Linked DNA regions of Oryctolagus cuniculus. The protein of the gene in region 1 purifies or fractionates together with the protein of each later gene. This does not show direct contact. Links are inferred from orthologs where the notes say so. Each region holds a gene or a part of one and is shown in the gene's direction. Other genes may lie near its edges.

Region 1 (4,913 bases):
GACCCAGCTCTTTGGCAGAGTTGGCTTAGCCAGCGGAGCCAGCGTCCCATATGGGTGCCGGTTCGGGTCCCAGATGCTCCACCTCCAATCCAACTCCCTGCTGATAGCCTGGGAAGGCATTGGAAGATGGCCCAAGTGTTTGGGCCCCTGCTCCCACCTTGGAGACCAGAAGCAGCTCCCGGCTGCTGGTGTCTGATCAGCTTAGCTCTGCCATTGCGATCATTTTGGGAGTGAACCAGTGGATGGAAGACCTCTCACTCTGTCTCTCCCTATTAGTAAAATGGCGGCAGTCTTATCTACGGCCCGACCTATACCCCGGACACAATTCTAGGCTCTAGCCCTCCACGCCATTGCTGGAAGCCAGGTGACCCTGTGGCCCAACCATCGGTGTCAGCTCCACCCCCATCCTAACAGGATTTGTTGCTCCTACTTCCCTGCCCACCGCCTTCCCCCCAGCCTGTTCCTGAACACGTGGCTCTTTCTCACTGTCTTTTGTTCTCTCTCTTTTCATTCTTTTCCCTTTCCCTCCGGTCTGTGGGGTTTACCCCACCAATAAACCCTTTGCCTTACTCCGGTGTTTGGTGTTTTGTGGCGGCCTCTCTGTAACTCTGCCTCTCAAATAAAGAAAAATAAATCTTAAAAAAAAAGGAAAAAAAAAAAAGATGTGCAGGCTTCACCAGCAGTGAGAACTATTTAGAGGGACAGAATGGAAAGGGGCGTTCATGCACATCTACATCCAATGTCTTCAGCATGGATGCCACAAAGGTTGTGTGTCCCGTCTCCAGATTCCTGCTTTCAAAAGTCAGGGGTAAAATGGTTCCTCATGTGGACAGCCGGAAGTCAGGGGAAAAGTCCAAGATTTCGCTTATTTTGGAGATCGGACATAAGGGCGGAAAATGTCTTTGTTGCTGTTTTGTTTTTCCTTCCTGTGTGCACTCTGAAATGGCAGCCGCGCAGCGTGGACTTCTGCTTGCCAGCTGGGAGTTGCATGAATGCAGGGGACATGATGGCATCCCCTTCGGCACCTGTTAGGTGCCAGTGAACACTGGAGAAGCAGATCTGTAAAAATGATTTCAAACGGAGAGGCAGCTGCGCCAGTCTTCCAGTCTGCAATTTTTAGCCGCGGTGCTCCGGGCCGGGGCACTCTGCAGACCGCCCGAGCTACGCCGGACCCGGAAGGCGCTTTCACTTCCAGGTACCCCGGCTGCCGGGGGTGGGCTCCGTGGTCCTGGGAGCCTCACGTGCGCCGTGCGGACCGACACTGCCCGCTAAAGGGACGCAAGCCTCTGCGGCTAGGAGAGGTCCCTCGGCGAGGGCGGTCGCGGTGCCCGTGCCGTCACACCACCCCACACCTGCCATCACCACCTCCACGGTTCCCGAGGGTCCGCGTGGGCAGCCAGAGCTGCGCCCCCTGGTCTGCCGCGGCAGGTTACGCCCCAGGGCGCAAAGCGGCGCGACTCCAGCATCCAGGAGACAAAGTAAAACCAATTGCACCAAAGAGAGGCAGCGCTATTTATGCGGCCGGCTTTTCCCCCAGGGCCTCCACCCTGTCCCCCGGGCCCGGCGCCCAGAGCGCAGACGGTGCCCGGCTCCGGAGCCCCAGCTCCCTCCACGTGTCCTGTCTTCCCAGCAGCCTCCTCTGCCGCCTCGGGAGGAAAACCTCCTGACAACTCGCGGTCTGCGGACTACGTCTCCCAGAAGGCGCCGCGCCGCCTCTCTCTCCGCCCTCCTCCGCGGGACACGCAGGCGCCCTGAGCTCCGTCCGCAAGCCGGCCTGGCGTCGACGGGCTGCAGTGCTTCCTGGGATTTGTAGTTCTTTGGGCTCTCGCCGGGCCGTCAGTCCCAAGGACGAGAACTACAAGACTCGGCTGCCCCAGCGTGCCGAGTCCGATCACGTGGCAGGGGGCCGACCGGGCGTGCGTGCCGCCGTTGATCCGGTGCTGCAGTGAGGAGGTGGTTCTCGCCCGTGTTGTGTGTGTGTGCGTGTGTGGGGGTGTGTGTGTGTGAGTGAGTGAGAGAGCGAGTGAGTGAGTGAGTGAGTGTGTGTGTGGGGGCACTTGGCTGCTTGTTGTCGGTGACTTCCCCCTCCCCTCCACCCTTCCCCCTTCCCGCCGCCGCCGCTGCAGTGGCCGCTCCCTGGGCCGTAGGAAATGAGCGATAACGATGACATCGAGGTGGAGAGCGACGTGAGTCCCGGGGCTTCTTCCTTCCCGTGCGGGTTGTCAGGCGGGGACAGCGGCCAGGGCTCTCAGCGGGGCGACGGCGGGAGGGGGCCGGGCCGCAGCCGCCGCCTCCTCCTCCTCCTCCTCCTCCTCCTCCCCCCCTTTCCCCTCCCCGGCCGGGACCGCCTCGGTCGCGCTCCCGGCTCGCTCCCCTCGGGGCTGCCGGGCTGGAGGTGGGGGAGAGGACACGCGGCCTCTGGGACCCCCGGCCCGTTCTCCTGCCGCCACCCTAGCCAGCTGAGGCTCCGTGGGACAGGGCTGGGGTGCGACCGGGATCTCATTGTCCGGATCCTGGGGTCGGCGATCCCCTCCTCCCGGGACCCGCGGATCCTGGGGGGTGCGGGGGGTGCGGCAGAGCGGAGAGGGGTTGGGAGTGTCCCGGCGGCCCGAGCTGGGTCCGAGGGGAGGAGACGGTGCTCGGGAACCCCTCTGGCCCGGGTCGGATCCCGGAAAGAGGGGCGGCGCTCGGGACCCCCTGCCCGGCTACTGGATCCCGCTGGGGGAGGGTGGGGGCGTGGGGCGGGGAGGGAGGGGTGAAGGGCTGACTCCCCCCCCCCCACCCGCCGCTTCCTCCGCCGCCGGCATTTTCTTTCTTATTATTGAGTGTGAAGTGTAAAAATAACTTCTATATTTTCTATTTTTTTTTTCTCTCTTATTCCAGGAAGAGCAACCGAGGTTTCAATCTGCGGTACGTCTCCTACTCTCCATTTCGTTTTCATTTCCGTTCAGTTCTAGTCCTTTCTGGGGTCAGAGAGAACCAGAGATTGTTCTAATACTTTTAATAATGTAGTAAACCCTCCTGTTGCCCGCTAAGGTGAGGTGGGGCCTGAATCCGGGGTGCCGGGGGGTGGGGAGGGAGAGCTGCGAATCCCATAATTCCAGATTCTCAGGTGACTGAGTGCTGAGTGAAGCCAAGACGTGGAATGGCCTGTAGTTTCCACACGGGCTTGCAGCTCCTGCCGTGCGAGTGGGGAATGAGGACAGCCTTTGGAGGCAGATAGTGGCTGGCGTCGCTCCAGGGCCAAGGAGCTGGGAGGCTGAGTTAGGCAGCAGGCGGTGTTGAACCCTAGCCACATAGCTGGGTCCGGCTGAAGCCACATGCAGTAATGGCCCCTAACCGGGAGTCATGGGGCTGGCAGGCCGAGGTGTTGTAGCACCAACGGCAGACCAGCCGGGGCGGGCGGGCGGGCCGTGGCACCAGCCTGACCTGCGGCTCCTTGTGGGCGGCCCCTGTCCCAGTTGAAGGAGAGGGGGATAGAGAATGGTGAGAGCGGCTGAAGACAGCGCTGGGGAAAGGTGATGGAGGCGGTCACCGGTGTTCTCGCGGTGGCTCCCACGTTCTGATGCCAGTGTGCTCGGGCGTGCTCCTGTGCACTCCCACTCGGAGCTCTTGTCTTTGGAGCCGTGCTGCGGGCGTGTGTGGCTAGATCAGAGAAAGCAGAGGAGAGATGCGGAGTAAATCCGCACTGGAGCGGGCAAGAAGAGCGAAGCGTGGCAGAGGCTGTGCTGGTCGTCAGCTAGGAGCCGGGAGCTGTGGGGTGCCCCAGGCAGTGGGGAGCTGAGAGTCCAGGGGAGGGAAGAGGTGGGGCCTGGGCTCCTGGGGGACACAGGCCTCCCAAAGAGGCAGGCGCTCCTCCGCCCCAGTGGGTGGGTATGTGGGAGGAGCACCCGCTGTTGCCAGATCTTCCTGTTGTGAAGGAAATAGTGGAAATCCACAACTTGTATATGACTTTTGTGATTTTCAAAAGAATGTGTGGACCAGCTGTGTGCAGGCTTGGTAGAGTTTGCAGGATGCCGCGGTAGACCCCTGGTGTAGGAATTTAGTAACCACAAAGGCAAGCTCTCTGCATTGTCCCTGTGCGTCATCAGAGCACGCCAAGGTGGCACGGGTTGTCCAAGAGAGACCATTAGGAAAGCTGGCCTGAGAGCTGATGTTTCCACTGAACTCCCAGCGTGCACTTGCTCCTGGCCAGCAGTCGTGAATATTTGCTGTGCTTTATTTCTCTTTGAAGTCATGATGCACACTCGTATTCACCCATGGATGTGAAAATTGAATTCCCTCTTCCCGTTGCTGTTGTCCTCACTAATGTGGCAGCGGAGCCCAGTGTGCCTGCAGCATTGTTTGCCGACCTCTGGCTCAGGGCTGGACCGGGGTTGGTCAGTCAGGTGTCAGTCGCTGCAGAATCCGCCCTGTGCATTTGCATTCCGATGGCTTCCCGGTGAGAGGAAGGTTCTTTTGTGCATGAAATTTTGGCTCACGGTTTTTGGAAGCTTCCTGCTTTTCCAAATGTTCATCCCCGTGGATTCATGTAAATTTGTTGATTAGATTATTAGAGTAGTTCCTCTCCTAGAGGGCGACTCTCATTGTTTTGTCCAGATGTTTTCAGTTTGCTGTTAAGGTGCCTACTTCCCCCCCGTTGATTTTGGGGAGAAGGCAAGGGAAGCAGTTTTGACCCTGTGGTATGAACTTGACACATCTGCTTGTTGGATTTTTAAATGTGAGGCAGAAGATCACGAGCAGCATGGAGACAGAAAGCAAATGCATCTTCCGACGGCCCAGACCACCTGCGCGTGTGCAGGGTGAAAAGGGGTTTTTTGTTTCCTCTGTGAATGCATCTGTTTGCTGAGATTTAGTATAAATAAAAATATTGGCAAAAAATTATGGGGAAAACTGTTTGTAAGTTTTGCCTT
Region 2 (4,357 bases), on another chromosome or scaffold:
GGGGTGGGCAGTAGGAGTCCCCGAGGGTCATCTGGAAGCCAGGTGGCTTTGGAGCTAGCTGTGGTCCTTGGACGGGGTCTGGGCCCTCCCTGTGTCAGGGCCGCCTGTGTGACGACACTCCCGTTCCCTGGGAGGTAAACTCTTCAGAAGTGCGATAGTCTGCCTTTGAATCTTACTTCCTTTCTGTTCATCTTGTCTTCTCATCCTCTCTCCTCTCTCGTCTTTCTCCCTTCTGTCTTCCTCCAGCCCTTCCCGTAGAACCTTAGAACCTTAGAACTAGAAGCGACCAGTAGAGACCAGTTGTGGCCCTGGCTGCACATTGGAATCCCACAGGGGATGCCCGACACACTGCAGATGGCGGTGCCCCGGTGCAGACCAGTTCCGTAGAATGCCTGGCGTGGGCAAGCGTTTAAGCTCCCCAGGTGTCTGTAATGTGAAGTCAGGGTTGAAACGCTGACCCAGCTCAGTCTCTTTACTGTATCCATGAGATAATGGAGCCACAAGGATTGAGCGACTTGGGCACTTCTACCTAATACATGTTTTTCTCTTTGACTTCTCTGTCTTGAAAACTTCCTCACTGACCTGTTTCCCCAGTTGTCTTTCTGAAGTTCCCTTAGCCCCGCTGTTACACACACAGCCCAGGGAGGCCGGGCAGCCTCGCTTAGGTGAGGTCCGTTCAGATGTGTTCAGTGTGGCCTCCGCCTCCTCCTCCTCCACCACCTCCTCCTCCTCCTCTTGTGTCAGCCTTAGTGAGGGCTGGCACTCACCTGGTTAGTGCAATGTCCCAGGTATTGAAGGCCTCATTGGGTTTGATTTGGGGCGACCGTACCAGGTGAGTCATGTGCTAAGTTCTCTTCCCAGCTGTCTGTGAGATGTGCGGTATCGTGGGCACAAGGGAAGCCTTCTTCTCCAAGACCAAGAGGTTCTGCAGCGTCTCCTGCTCCAGGAGCTATTCCTCCAACTCCAAGAAAGCCAGCATCTTGGCTAGATTACAGGTGAGAGGCAGCCGCTCGGCCCCCAGGGCCCTGGGTGCTAAAAGAGGACCAGCTGACTGGAGGCCCAGAGGACCTGGGAAGCTCCCTGTTTTGGCCGTCTGAGGTTGGACATTTCTTCTGAGAATTTGCTGTGCTCTCAAACCTCAGTAGGCAGAGGAGTCAGTTTATGGAGCTTGTTCATTAAGAGCTTGCTGTTATCCTTCCACCCCCAAGAGTCGCTCATATTCAATAAATTTAAGTGAGAGTCCTGGAGGTTCTGATCAGAGCTGGAAGCCCTGCTCTTCTCTGCACGCTTTTATAAATGCCTTGAAGGGAAGCTGGGATACAGGCGCAAGGTTCAGCAGCCACAGCGGCATCAGGAAGCCGATGCCTTGTCGCTGACTGTGTCTCATGGGTGGCCACCTGGGAAGTCTTGCCAAGCTCTTGACATTTATAGAAGTTTAGGGATGGAAACACTTGTCTTAGGCACCTGTTGTCAGACCCACAAGATGATGCAGTGTGCCGAGTGCAGGGAGGTGGAACGACTGACCCAGGGCAGCTCTGTGGAGGGAGAGCACTGGGATCTGGGCTGCAGCCTACGCTCAGCTGCCGGCCGTGGGTGTTTCCCAACGTGCACACGTGCCTCAAAGGAGACTGTGCATTCGGAACATCCGGAAAGTTTTGGTTTTTTTTTTTTTTTAAAGATTTGTTTATTTGGAAGAGTTACACAGAGAGGTAGAGACAGAGAGAGTCTTCCATTCACTGGTTCACTCTTCAAATGGCCTCAATGGCCAGAGCTGGGCCAATTAGGAGCCAGGAGTTTCTTCCAGGTCTCCCACGTGGGTGCAGGGGCCCACGCACTTGGGCCATCTCTGCTGCTTTCCCAAGGCGCATTAGCAGGGAGCAGCCAGGTCTTGAACTGGCGTCCATATAGGATGCCTGCGCTGCAGGCCGGAGCATTAACCTGCTGCACCATAGTGCCAGCCTCTAGAAAGTTTTAAAAATATGATATTTGGGGCCGGTGCCGCAGCTCACTAGGCTAATCCTCCACCTAGCAGCGCCAGCACACCGGGTTCTAGTCCCGGTCGGGGCGCCGGATTCTGTCCTGGTTGCCCCTCTTCCCGGCCAGCTCTCTGCTGTGGCCAGGGAGTGCAGTGGAGGATGGCCCAAGTGCTTGGGCCCTGCACCCCATGGGAGACCAGGAGAAGTACCTGGCTCCTGCCTTCGGATTAGCGCGGTGCACTGGCCGCAGCGTGCCAGCCGCGGCGGCCATTGGAGGGTGAACCAACAGCAAAAGGAAGACCTTTCTCTCTGTCTCTCTCTCACTGTCCACTCTACTTGTCAAAAAAAAAAAAAAAAAAGAAAAAAAAAAGATATTTGGGTCCTATACCCAAAGACTGGCTTAACAGGGAAGGAGTGTGATCTTGGCTTGGGGATTTAAAGAGCTCGCCGGTGACTCTGCCTGCCACCGTGATGCTGGTGGCAGTGCCCTGAGCTGGCTCCGGCCGGTGCCTCACTCACTGCACTGCCTTTGCTTCCCTCGTTTTGTGGGTTTTATGCAACGCATGAAAGAGAGCTCGTGATGTTACTTGGTAATAGTGACATCGGGGGACACCTGTTGAGGGCTTGGCATTCCCAGTCTAAACAACGATCCTAAAAAATTGACTTTACACAAATTCCTGTTTTAAGAGTTTAAGCATTTGAGTAAAAGATATAGAAAGCTTCAGAACCGGGGTTGGCCCCCAGTCTGTGTGGGATGTCATCCTCCATTTCTGCCTCACTGATCTGTGGTAAATTCCTGGCTTTTCTGATCAGTGCGTAAGTTACAAAGTATGCACCAGGGCCCTGGCCTTTCCCTTTGGGGGTGACCTCCTCTGAGTACCTGAGGACAGCACGGGAGCCTCCGTGGAGCACAATTACCTGTGTACGGAATGCTGCCTCGTGGAGCAGAGACTTCGTGGTGCCACCCTCCCCCACCTCACCCCCGCCCAGCCTATTCTCTGCGTGGCTCAGTAGCAGCACCAGAGTAAGGAGCTGACAGAGCTAAAGCTGTAGGGAGAGGCCCCTGCTCCGCTGACTACCCACCACCACCATCACCCTCTGAGCTAGGCCTTGTCCACGCTGTGTTTTACAAACTCAAGCCAGAAGAGGATAAGTAACTGAACAAGACCAGGCGGATCCTGACAGTGCCGATCCAGATCCTTAGCCGCCACCTCACGGCCTCTCTTTTCCCTCCAGGGGAAACCACCAACCAAGAAAGCCAAAGTGCTGCACAAGGCGGCCTGGTCTGCTAAAATCGGAGCCTTCCTGCACTCCCAGGGCACTGGACAGCTGGCCGATGGGACGCCCACAGGGCAAGACGGTAAGACAGCAGGGACAGGTTCTGAAAGTGGCTGCGGTGGTGGCCGGGACCCGGCTGGCCCTCCCTGGGAGTGGGGGCTGGGAAAGCTGGACCACTGGAAAGCCCCTGGCCCAGGCTCGCTGCCCGTCACCCTTTCCTGTGGGCTGTCCTGGAAGTTACCTCCTAAAAGCTCCTGGCTCACCCCTCAGAAGTCAGGAATTAGCTTCTTTTGTTTCTCTTATCTCTGGGGCAGTGGAGGCCCAAGTCTGGTTTGAAGGGGCGGCAGTCCGGGGTTAGGATAACAAAAGGAACCTTCTCTGTGTGTGTGTGTAGCAAACTAAGTGTAGGCCCTCGCAGCTCTGCCAAGTTGGCCTCCCCGCCAGCAGGTCTGGGCCTCACTCTGTGCTGCTCCACCCTGTTGGGTTGGATGTGGCCAAGGAGAGGCTGAGGGGTGTGAGGAATTTGAACCCAGGGACACTGGCATTTCCCTTTCCTTGGGATAAGAAGGGAGAGATACTCCTTTGTAAGTGCTCCTCTACCGAGGATTGGCGGCGTCTAGATTTGCCTGCACCCCCTGGTGGCCACTGGTGGGACAGGTCTGGGCGCACTGGGACTGCTGCGGAAGAGCGACTGCTGCTGAGCCCGCCGGCCCTCAGTGCAGTGACCACAGCGCTGCCACCGGGCTTCCAGGCGCCAATCTCCTCTCTGCTCCACAGCTCTGGTCCTGGGCTTCGACTGGGGCAAGTTCCTGAAGGATCACAGTTACAAAGCTGCTCCTGTCAGCTGCTTCAAACACGTGAGTGCCCCGGGTTGCAGAGGGAGGGCAGGGCACACAGCGGAGGCGCTGGCCTTGGTGTGCACACCGCTTCCCAAGGACGGTGCCAGGCTGGTGCGGTGCCGCAGAGCTGCAGTGCGCGCCAGGTGGAAGGAGCTCAGCCCTGTCAGCCGGCTCCATGCTCTGAGTCTGCTGCTCCTCAAAACTCCCGGAGCTGCGCTGCGGCACAGCGGGTTAAGCCATCTGCACCCTGGCAACCCTATGAGT
Region 3 (4,357 bases), on another chromosome or scaffold:
ACGACTGGAGCTGTGCCGACCTGAGGCCAGGAGCCAGGAGCTTCTTCTGGGTCTCCCACGTGGGTGCAGGGCCCAAGCACTTGGGCCATCTTCCACTGCTTTCCCAGGCCACAGCACAGCGCTGGATTGGAAGAGGAGCAGCCGGGACTCGAACCGGCGCCCATATGGGATGCCAGCACTGCAGGCGGTGGCTTTACCCACTGTGCCACAGCACTGGCCCTGAGAAATTTCTTTTTTATGCATTTTTTTTTTTTTGACAGGCAGAGTGGATAGTGAGAGAGAGAGACAGAGAGAAAGGTCTTCCTTTTGCCGTTGGTTCACCCTCCAATGGCCGCTGCGGCCAGCGCACTGTGCTGATCCAAAGGCAGGAGCCAGGTACTTCTCCTGGTCTCCCATGGGGTGCAGGGCCCAAGCACTTGGGCCATCCTCCACTGCACTCCCGGGCCACAGCAGAGAGCTGGCCTGGAAGAGGGGCAACCGGGACAGAATCCGGCGCCCCGACCAGGACTAGAACCCGGTGTGCCGGCGCCGCAAGGCAGAGGATTAGCCTAGTGAGCCGGCTGCTAGAGATTTCTAAGTAGATTTCTTTTTGTACCGTTTTTCCTGGGAATTAACGTCTAGATACGGTTTGCGCTGCCCAGGCCCACTGTAGACCTCGGTTAGCCGCAGCCTCCTGCCCTGCGGTCCCGCCTGCTGGGCGCCAGCGCCATGGCCACGGAGGAGAAGAAGCCCGAGACCGAGGCCGCCAGAGCCCAGCCCACCCCTTCCTCGTCCGCCACTCAGAGCAAGGTGGGGACCTGACGGCACTGCCCCCCTCCCGGCCTGGGGCGGCAGAGGTTAGGACTGGGCCTGCAGGGCCGGGCTGATGTCGCCGCCCGCCTTCCCCGAGTGACCGCAGTCCTGGTGAACGCCCGCGGCAGCTTCGTACAAAACACGGGCGCTCGGTCCTGCTCCCGTCTGCGGAACTCGGCCCTCGGCCCCAGCAGGCCCTGGGCGGGGATGCGGGCCCTGGTCTGGGCGGTGGGATGCGGGCCCTGGTCTGGGCGGTGGGATGGGGGCCCTGGTCTGGGCGGTGGGATGCGGGCCCTGGTCTGGGCGGTGGGATGGGGGCCCTGGTCTGGGCGGTGGGATGCGGGCCCTGGTCTGGGCGGTGGGATGCGGGCCCTGGTCTGGGCGGTGGGATGGGGGCCCTGGTCTGGGCGGTGGGATGCGGGCCCTGGTCTGGGCGGTGGGATGCGGGCCCTGGTCTGGGCGGTGGGATGCGGGCCCTGGTCTGGGCGGTGGGATGCGGGCCCTGGTCTGGGCGGTGGGATGCGGGCCCTGGTCTGGGCGGTGGGATGTGGGCCCTGGTCTGGGCGGTGGGATGGGGGCCCTGGTCTGGGCGGTGGGATGCGGGGGCCTTTGGTGAAGGTACCAGGCCTGCAGGTGCAGCCCAGGGAAGCTGAACCAGGCTGGAGCTGCTGGGCCTGGGACGTGGCAGGGCCACGTGGGGGGGTTGGGGTGGGTGGGTTGGGGGTGGAGGTGGTCGCATCAGAGGGGCTGGGGGGGTGGGGGAGGTGGGGGTGGTCGCATCAGAGGGGCTGGGGGGGTTGGGGGGGTGGGGGTGGTTGTGTCAGCGGGGCTGGGGGGGCTGGGGGGGTGGGGGTGGTTGTGTCAGCGGGGCTGGGGGTCTGGGGTGGTCACATCAGAGGGGCTGGGGGGGTTGGGGGTGGTCACATCAGAGGGGTTGGGGGGGTTGGGGGTGGTCACATCAGAGGGGTTGGGGGGGTGGGGGTGGTTGCGTTAGCGGGGCTGGGGGGGTGGGGGTGGTTGTGTCAGCGGGGCTGGGGGGGCTGGGGTGGTCACATCAGAGGGGCTGGGGGGGTTGGGGGGGTGGGGGGTGTTGCATCAGTGGGGCTGGGGGGGCTGGGGTGGTCACATCAGAGGGGCCTCTGGGGGGAACCGTGACCTCGGGTTGCAGGGTGGCTCCGGGTAGAGTCTCCAGCAGGCGCCTGGCCTAGGGGGGCTGCGCCGGCCTTCAGCTGGGGTCCACGTGGCTGCTAGCTGGGGGGGGGGGCTTCTGCTAGTGGGACCTCTGCCTTCTCTCCAACAGCCCACGCCTGTGAAGCCCAACTACGCCCTGAAATTCACCCTGGCCGGCCACACGAAAGCCGTGTCCTCCGTGAAATTCAGCCCCAACGGCGAGTGGCTGGCCAGCTCCTGTAGGTGCCGCGGGCGGGGCGGGTGGGGGGGCGATCTCCCCGCGCTGGGGTCCGGGAAGCCCAGGCAGTGGGTGGCCGAGCGACCATGCTCCCTGAGCCCCAGCCCCGCCTCCCTCTTTCTTTCAGCTGCTGATAAACTCATTAAAATCTGGGGCGCATACGACGGGAAGTTTGAGAAGACCATCTCGGGCCACAAGCTGGTGGGTGTCCCCGGGAGCGGGGCTGGAGGAGGCCTGGCGGGGGAAGGGCCCCCCGCGTGTTCCGCCGCGCTCTCCCTGTGCCCACACTGGCCCCCGCCGGCAGGCACAGCGCCCGGGCCTCTCGGGGGTCACAGCGCCCCGGCCTCTCCCGGGGTCACAGTGCCCGGGCCTCTCGCGGGGTCACAGCACCCGGGGCCTCTCGGGGGTCACAGCGCCCCGGCCTCTCGCGGGGTCACAGTGCCCGGGCCTCTCGGGGGTCACAGCGCCCCGGGGCCTCTCGGGGGGGGGGGTCACAGCGCCCCGGCCTCTCGGGGTCACAGCGCCTGGGCCTCTCGGGGGTCACAGCGCCCCGGGGCCTCTCGGGGGGGTGTCACAGCGCCCCGGGGCCTCTCGGGGTCACAGCGCCCGGGGCCTCTCGGGGGTCACAGCGCCCCGGGGCCTCTCGGGGGGGGGGTCACAGCGCCCCGGCCTCTCGGGGTCACAGTGCCTGGGCCTCTCGGGGGTCACAGCGCCGCGGGGCCTCTCGGGGTCACAGCGCCTGGGCCTCTCGGGGGGGGGGTCACAGCGCCCCGGCCTCTCGGGGGGGTGGGTCACAGCGCCCGGGCCTCTCGGGGGTCACAGCGCCCCGTGGCCTCTCGGGGGGGGGGTCACAGCGCCCGGGCCTTTCGCGGGGTCACAGCTCCCGGCCTCTCGGGGTCACAGCGCCCCGGCCTCTCGGGGGGGGGGTCACAGCGCCCGGGCCTCTCGGGGGTCACAGCGCCCCGGGGCCTCTCGGGGTCACAGCGCCTGGGCCTCTCGGGGGTCACAGCGCCCCGGGGCCTCTCGGGGGGGGGGTCACAGCGCCCTGGCCTCTCGGGGGGGTGGGTCACAGCGCCCGGGCCTCTCGGGGGTCACAGCGCCCCGTGGCCTCTCGGGGGGGGGGTCACAGCGCCCCCGGCCTCTCTGGGGTCACAGCGCCCCGGCCTCTCGGGGTCACAGCGCCCCGGCCTCTCGGGGTCACAGCGCCCCGGCCTCTCGGGGTCACAGCGCCCCGGCCTCTCGGGGGTCGGCTCTGGGCCGAGCTCTGTCGCTGCCGGAGCTCACCGTGGTCTCCCCCAGGGAATATCCGACGTGGCCTGGTCCTCAGATTCCAACCTCCTCGTCTCTGCCTCCGACGATAAGACCTTGAAGATCTGGGACGTGAGCTCGGTGAGCCGCGCGCGCCCGCGGGGCCCTGGGGGTGGTCCCGGCCCCGCCCGCCGGAGTCTGAGGGGCTTTGTTGCAGGGCAAGTGCCTGAAGACCTTGAAGGGCCACAGCAACTACGTCTTCTGCTGCAACTTCAACCCGCAGTCCAACCTCATCGTGTCGGGCTCCGTGAGTGCGGGGCGGGGCTGCGCGGGGGCGGGGCGGGGCGGGGCTCCGTGAGTGTGGGGCGGGGCTGCGCGGGGGGCGGGGTGGGGCGGGGCTCCGTGAGTGCGGGGCGGGGCTGCGCGGGGGCGGGGCAGGGCTCCGTGAGTGCGGGGCGGGGCTCCGTGAGTGCGGGGCGGGGCGGGGCTCCGTGAGTGCGGGGCGGGGCTGCGCGGGGGCGGGGCGGGGCTCCGTGAGTGCGGGGCGGGGCGGGCTGCGCGGGGGGGGGGGGCGGGGCGGGGCTCCGTGAGTGCGGGGCGGGGCGGGCTGCGCGGGGGGGGGGGGCGGGGCGGGGCTCCGTGAGTGCGGGGCGGGGCTGCGCGGGGGCGGGGCGGGGCTCCGTGAGTGCGGGGCGGGGCTGCGCGGGGGCGGGGCGGAGCTCCGTGAGTGCGGGGCGGGGCGGGCTGCGTGGGGGCGGGGCTGCGTGGGGGCGGGGCGGAGCTCCGTGAGTGCGGGGCGGGGGCGGGGGCGGGGCTGCGCTGCGTGGGGGTGGGGTGCGTGGGGGCGCGGCGTGGCGGAGGGGGCCCTGCCTTCCTGCCGTGGGCCACTGTCCTGTCCCGCCTGCCCTA
Region 4 (4,357 bases), on another chromosome or scaffold:
ACAGTGGGCAACGCGGGGCGCTGAGCTCCTGCCTGTGGCCCAGTGATTGGGGGAGGAGTGTGCACAGGGTTTGAAGAGATGGAGTCACCGCTGCCACCGTCAACACAATGCAACTGGAGAGCACCTTTTGTGTCTCCACTGTGCACCAGGCATGGTGCTGGGGGGGAACAGGACTGATCCTGCTACTGCCCCCAGGAGATGCACACTTCACTCTGGCCTTTTCCAAAGGCTGGGTGGCCATGGGGGAAGGGAAGGAGAGCCCCCACTGCCATCCCTCCTGCCTTTTCCCTAATAAGTGAGGCCAGAGCTGACCAGGAAGGTGGAAGGGACTGCCATGTGCAACACTGCCAGGAACCCCAGCAAAGCTTTTCTCTTAAGGAGTTTGCAAAGCTCTGCCCTGTCACAGTGTCTCAGATCAAGGGGCCTTAGGGGATGGGGGGGTGCTGGAGAGCTGGGTCTCCCATACCAGACCCACTCCCAACAGTTTAATCTCCAGAATTTATTTTCTTTTCCGACCTGAGGCTCTGTCCTCTGACTTGGGACAGGAAGAGAGGGAGAGAAGGGGGTGGCACGTGAACATGCTGGCTGAACTGATCCCCTTGTCCTTTCCCCCTTTCGGGCTCAAGGGTGGGTGTCCTGACCTAGATCACACGGCTTGTGCACTTGGTGAACCTGAGATTGAGAGAGAGAGAAGCATAAAACCATTGATTCTGGTGCTCATCAGGAAGACCTGGCTTGGCCATTCCTAGCATCCATGGAACTGACTTGGATGGGACTGCCTCCTACCTGGATGGGAGGGGTTGGCTGCAGTGTGCAAACCCTCCTGACACACGCTGCTGCTGGCCTCACCCTGGTCCTGCCTGCTGTGCCCGGCTCCCTGTTAGCTGGCATACAGAAGGGGAGCAGTCCTGTGCAGATTCAAGGCCAGCCCTTTGCTGCTGAGACCCCGGACCACAGGGGGCACAGTGTCTGTGCTGTTGACTGGGGACTGGAGCCTTGGTCCCTGGATCACTGATAAGTTCTCTGGGGGCAGCCTCTGGGGAAACCCAGGGAAGGTGCGGGAATGTGAGACAGGGTGTGCACTGTGAACGCAGCAGGGTGCTTTTTGAAAGTGCCTGAACACAGGTTGCTCCTGAGGGCGGCCCTGGCTATTGCCAGTTCGCTTCCCCTCTTAGGCACTGGCCCAGGAAGGAATCAGAGCAGGGGAGGGGGCAGAGATCTTGGATGGACTAGATCGGCCTGAGATGCCCCTTCTTCAGCAGCAGGCAAGCTGTGCCGTGCTGGCCGAGGTCCCACGGCGCTCTTCCTCCCCGGCACCTGTGAGGTATACCTGCCTGACTCTGCAAGAGAGAGGCTAGGTGAGGAGCAAGTGGCCATTTCCTAGGTGAGCCTTGGAGTTGAGCCCGTGGCTCAGTGGTTATGGCACTGCTTGGGTCACCTGCATCCCACATTGGAGTGCCTGGTTCAAGTCCTGGCTCCACTTCCAGTCCACCATTCCTGCTAATGTGTACCCAGAGGCAGCAGATGGTGGTCCAGCTGCTTGGACCCTACCACCTGTGTGGGAGACCCGGATAGAGTTCCTGACTTCTGGCTACATCCTGGCCCTGCTCTGGCTGCTGTGGGCCTTTTGGGAGGCAGTGAAACAGTGGTTGGAAGATCTCCCTTTGTCTCTTTCTGCCTTTCAAGTAAAGCAGAAATAAATTTTTAAAAATAAAATATGAGAATATGGGGTTTGACTTCAGTCTGGGTTCTCAGAGCACCTGTGCTTGGGACGTGGGGCCCTGTCTGTCCTCTGCCTGTGTATGGTGGAGCAGTGGCCCCAAGGCTAATGAAAGTTTGGGTCTTAAGTCAGTCAAAGGAATGGAGATGGGGGCTGTGTGGGGCTCTGAGTTTGAGGACCTCACCTGGGGGGCAGGGGGAGAGCAGGGTGGGAGAGCAGACAGGGTGTCCCAGCTGGGCCTGAGAAGGGCTTTGTAGCTGGAACTCAGCTGGCTTCTGTGCCATTGTGGTTTGTGGGGAGCTGGAGTGCAGAGAGCTGGTTTTCTGTGTGGCTGTCAGCATGCCTGTGCCGGGGGCAGGGAGGGAGGAGGCCCGGCATTTCTCCTTCCTGCAGGCCAGGGGGGACACGGAAGAGGCCTCCTGACTGGCCAGCCCCTGGACTGCTGGAAACCGCCGAGCGCCCCCCCTCCGGACCTTCCCCCTCCACTTCCTCCTTTGCCTCTTCTCCTTTGCAGCAGGGAGGGGCTGGGAGCAGGGTTGGCTCACTCTCAAGTTGTTGATTGGCCAGAGGGCCCCAAGGACTCAGGTCTGCTGGGGCCTCTGAGCCAGTCAGACTTGTGGGGGGGCAGTGATGCGCTCCCACCTGTTTGGGGTGTGTCTCCCGGCCTGTTAGTCAGCAGAGGGTGAGGGCTGGCCTGGGGGCTACAGACCAGGGGCACGCAGGGTGCAGCTGCCTGCTCTTGCCCTGTCTGATCCCCAGGAAAAAGCCCAGCTTCTGTCCACCTCTTTCTCCAGTCTGCACTGGAAATGGTGGGCACAGGAGGCAGGGGCTGGAGAGAAATGAGTTCTAGCATGAGAAGGGGCAGGCGGGAGCCAAGTGTGTGTGTGTTTTGAGCGATTCGCTGAAGAAAGCAGGCCTTGAACCCTAGCCTGGGAGTGGGCAGTGCGTGCCTGTGATGTGGGCTCTTGCGAGCACCCAGGCAGAAGGGAATGGATGTGAGAAGACTCCTAGTGAGGAGGTGTTGACCCAGCAAGGACAGGGCATCCGCTACAGCGTCAGGAGATTTGCTGTGTGACCTTCAACGGGTCACTGTGCCTCTCTGGGTTTCACTGCTTCTGTCTGTGAGACGAAGGCCCCGCCTGCCCTCCAGCAGATACTGGCTTCCAAAGAAGCCTCCATTGTCCTGTGGTTACCGAAGTCTTTTGTGCGCCCATCTCTGCCCAGCTCCGCAGCTTCCTCAGCTGTCTCTGGTCTCCGCAGCCCTGTTGCTTCCGACTCTTCCCTGCTCACCCCTGCACCTCCAGGCTGCCCTGCCTGCTGCAGGTCTCTGGCAGGCCCTGCTCGGCCTTGCGGCCACTCGGTCCTTGCCCCGCTGAGTGGTTCTGTCATTGTGCGTCCTCCTGCCCCTGCCCCGGACTGTGAGCCCCCAGGGGCAGGCACAGGGGTCACTGAGAGCTGTCTGGGCGGGTCCAAGGATGGCTTAGGGCCAGAGGACAGGTGAGGCTGGGGCCCAGGTCCACTGGCCCTGCTGAGACACCCCCTCCTCCCCGTGTTCTCTGCATAGAGGAGCAGGAGCGGCTTCGCTTGGAGCGGGAACGAGAGCAGGAGCAGAAGAAAACCAGTAGCCTGACCAGGCTGGCCCATGCCCTGCCTCTGGAGGAGCCCCGCGTGGAGGCGCCACCACTGCCTCTGTCGCCCCCAGCACCTCCGCCGGCACCCCCTCCTCCACTGGCCACTCCCACCCCACTCACTGTCATTCCTATTCCTGTAGTGACCAACTCCCCTCAGGCGCTGCCCCCACCCCCACCACTGCCACCCCCAGCCCAGCCTCTGCCCCTGGCGCCTCGCCAGCCAGCCCTGGTGGGCACCCCTGGACTCAGCATTAAGGAGCCAGCACCCTTGCCCACCAGGCCACAGGTGCCCACCCCCACACCCCTGCTGCCTGACTCAAAGACCACAGTCCCACCCACCGGCAGTCCCAAACCTCTGCAGCCCCTCCCCACACCCATCCTGACCATAGCACCACACCCTGGCGTCCAGCCTCAGCTGGCCCCCCAGCAGCCACCCCCAACCACCCTCGGGACCCTGAAGCTGGCACCAGCTGAAGAAGTCAAATCCAGCGAACAGAAGAAGAGGCCCGGGGGGTGAGTGAGGGGTGGCAGTCAGGGCTGGGGGGCTGGAGAGGAGCGCGCAAGAGAAGGGGCCCTGCCACGCTAGCCATCCGGAGGCCAGCCCCACCTGCCCGCCGCCTTCTCACTGTGTCTCTAGCTGGGAGTCAACTGCCGATGTCCTCTGACCCCTGCCACGCTGGGGTTGGTTTATGACATTTCCAAGCCTTTAGACCGAGTATTGGATTGTGGGCCCTTTGGATAAGGACTGGGGTCACTGGCAGCTTCTCTGAGGCCCAGGAGCCCTCCTGTGGCCTTGTGGTTGGGTGCGTGGGATGGAGGGTTCCAAGGGTTGGGGATTCTGAGCAAAGATGCGCCTTCCGGGGGTGGAGGATGCCAACATCTGCCACCTCTGCTTCTACAGAGAGAATGTTGGGGACAAAATGCCTGCCGCTCATGGGGGTTGGCGGCGGGGTAGGGGTGGGGTGGAGGTCCGGAAGGCCGCCTAATGCGTCCTCCTCCCTGATCC

Evidence for each region. Proteins that work in one complex are often made in the same cells at the same time.
Region 2: the proteins of MAX (region 1) and L3MBTL2 purify together in Homo sapiens (affinity purification with mass spectrometry; 6 studies listed by BioGRID and IntAct, with this or other methods). This does not show direct contact. The link is inferred for Oryctolagus cuniculus from reciprocal best matches to the Homo sapiens genes MAX and L3MBTL2.
Region 3: the proteins of MAX (region 1) and WDR5 purify together in Homo sapiens (affinity purification with mass spectrometry; 4 studies listed by BioGRID and IntAct, with this or other methods). This does not show direct contact. The link is inferred for Oryctolagus cuniculus from reciprocal best matches to the Homo sapiens genes MAX and WDR5.
Region 4: the proteins of MAX (region 1) and MNT purify together in Homo sapiens (affinity purification with mass spectrometry; 7 studies listed by BioGRID and IntAct, with this or other methods). This does not show direct contact. The link is inferred for Oryctolagus cuniculus from reciprocal best matches to the Homo sapiens genes MAX and MNT.

Annotation. Positions count from the first base shown.
Region 1 is NC_091451.1:11,144,645-11,149,557, reverse strand, and holds the start of MAX (protein max), read left to right. Parts: upstream 1-1,885; 5' UTR 1,886-2,150; coding exon 2,151-2,186; intron 2,187-2,883; coding exon 2,884-2,910; intron 2,911-4,913. UniProt on the Homo sapiens protein: Transcription regulator. Forms a sequence-specific DNA-binding protein complex with MYC or MAD which recognizes the core sequence 5'-CAC[GA]TG-3'. The MYC:MAX complex is a transcriptional activator, whereas the MAD:MAX complex is a repressor.
Region 2 is NC_091442.1:117,288,391-117,292,747, forward strand, and holds part of L3MBTL2 (lethal(3)malignant brain tumor-like protein 2), read left to right. Parts: intron 1-861; coding exon 862-995; intron 996-3,212; coding exon 3,213-3,336; intron 3,337-4,031; coding exon 4,032-4,111; intron 4,112-4,357. UniProt on the Homo sapiens protein: Putative Polycomb group (PcG) protein. PcG proteins maintain the transcriptionally repressive state of genes, probably via a modification of chromatin, rendering it heritably changed in its expressibility.
Region 3 is NC_091432.1:235,830,170-235,834,526, forward strand, and holds part of WDR5 (WD repeat-containing protein 5), read left to right. Parts: intron 1-621; 5' UTR 622-708; coding exon 709-789; intron 790-2,092; coding exon 2,093-2,201; intron 2,202-2,327; coding exon 2,328-2,401; intron 2,402-3,499; coding exon 3,500-3,589; intron 3,590-3,665; coding exon 3,666-3,755; intron 3,756-4,357.
Region 4 is NC_091448.1:47,883,239-47,887,595, reverse strand, and holds part of MNT (max-binding protein MNT), read left to right. Parts: intron 1-3,284; coding exon 3,285-3,864; intron 3,865-4,357. UniProt on the Homo sapiens protein: Binds DNA as a heterodimer with MAX and represses transcription. Binds to the canonical E box sequence 5'-CACGTG-3' and, with higher affinity, to 5'-CACGCG-3'.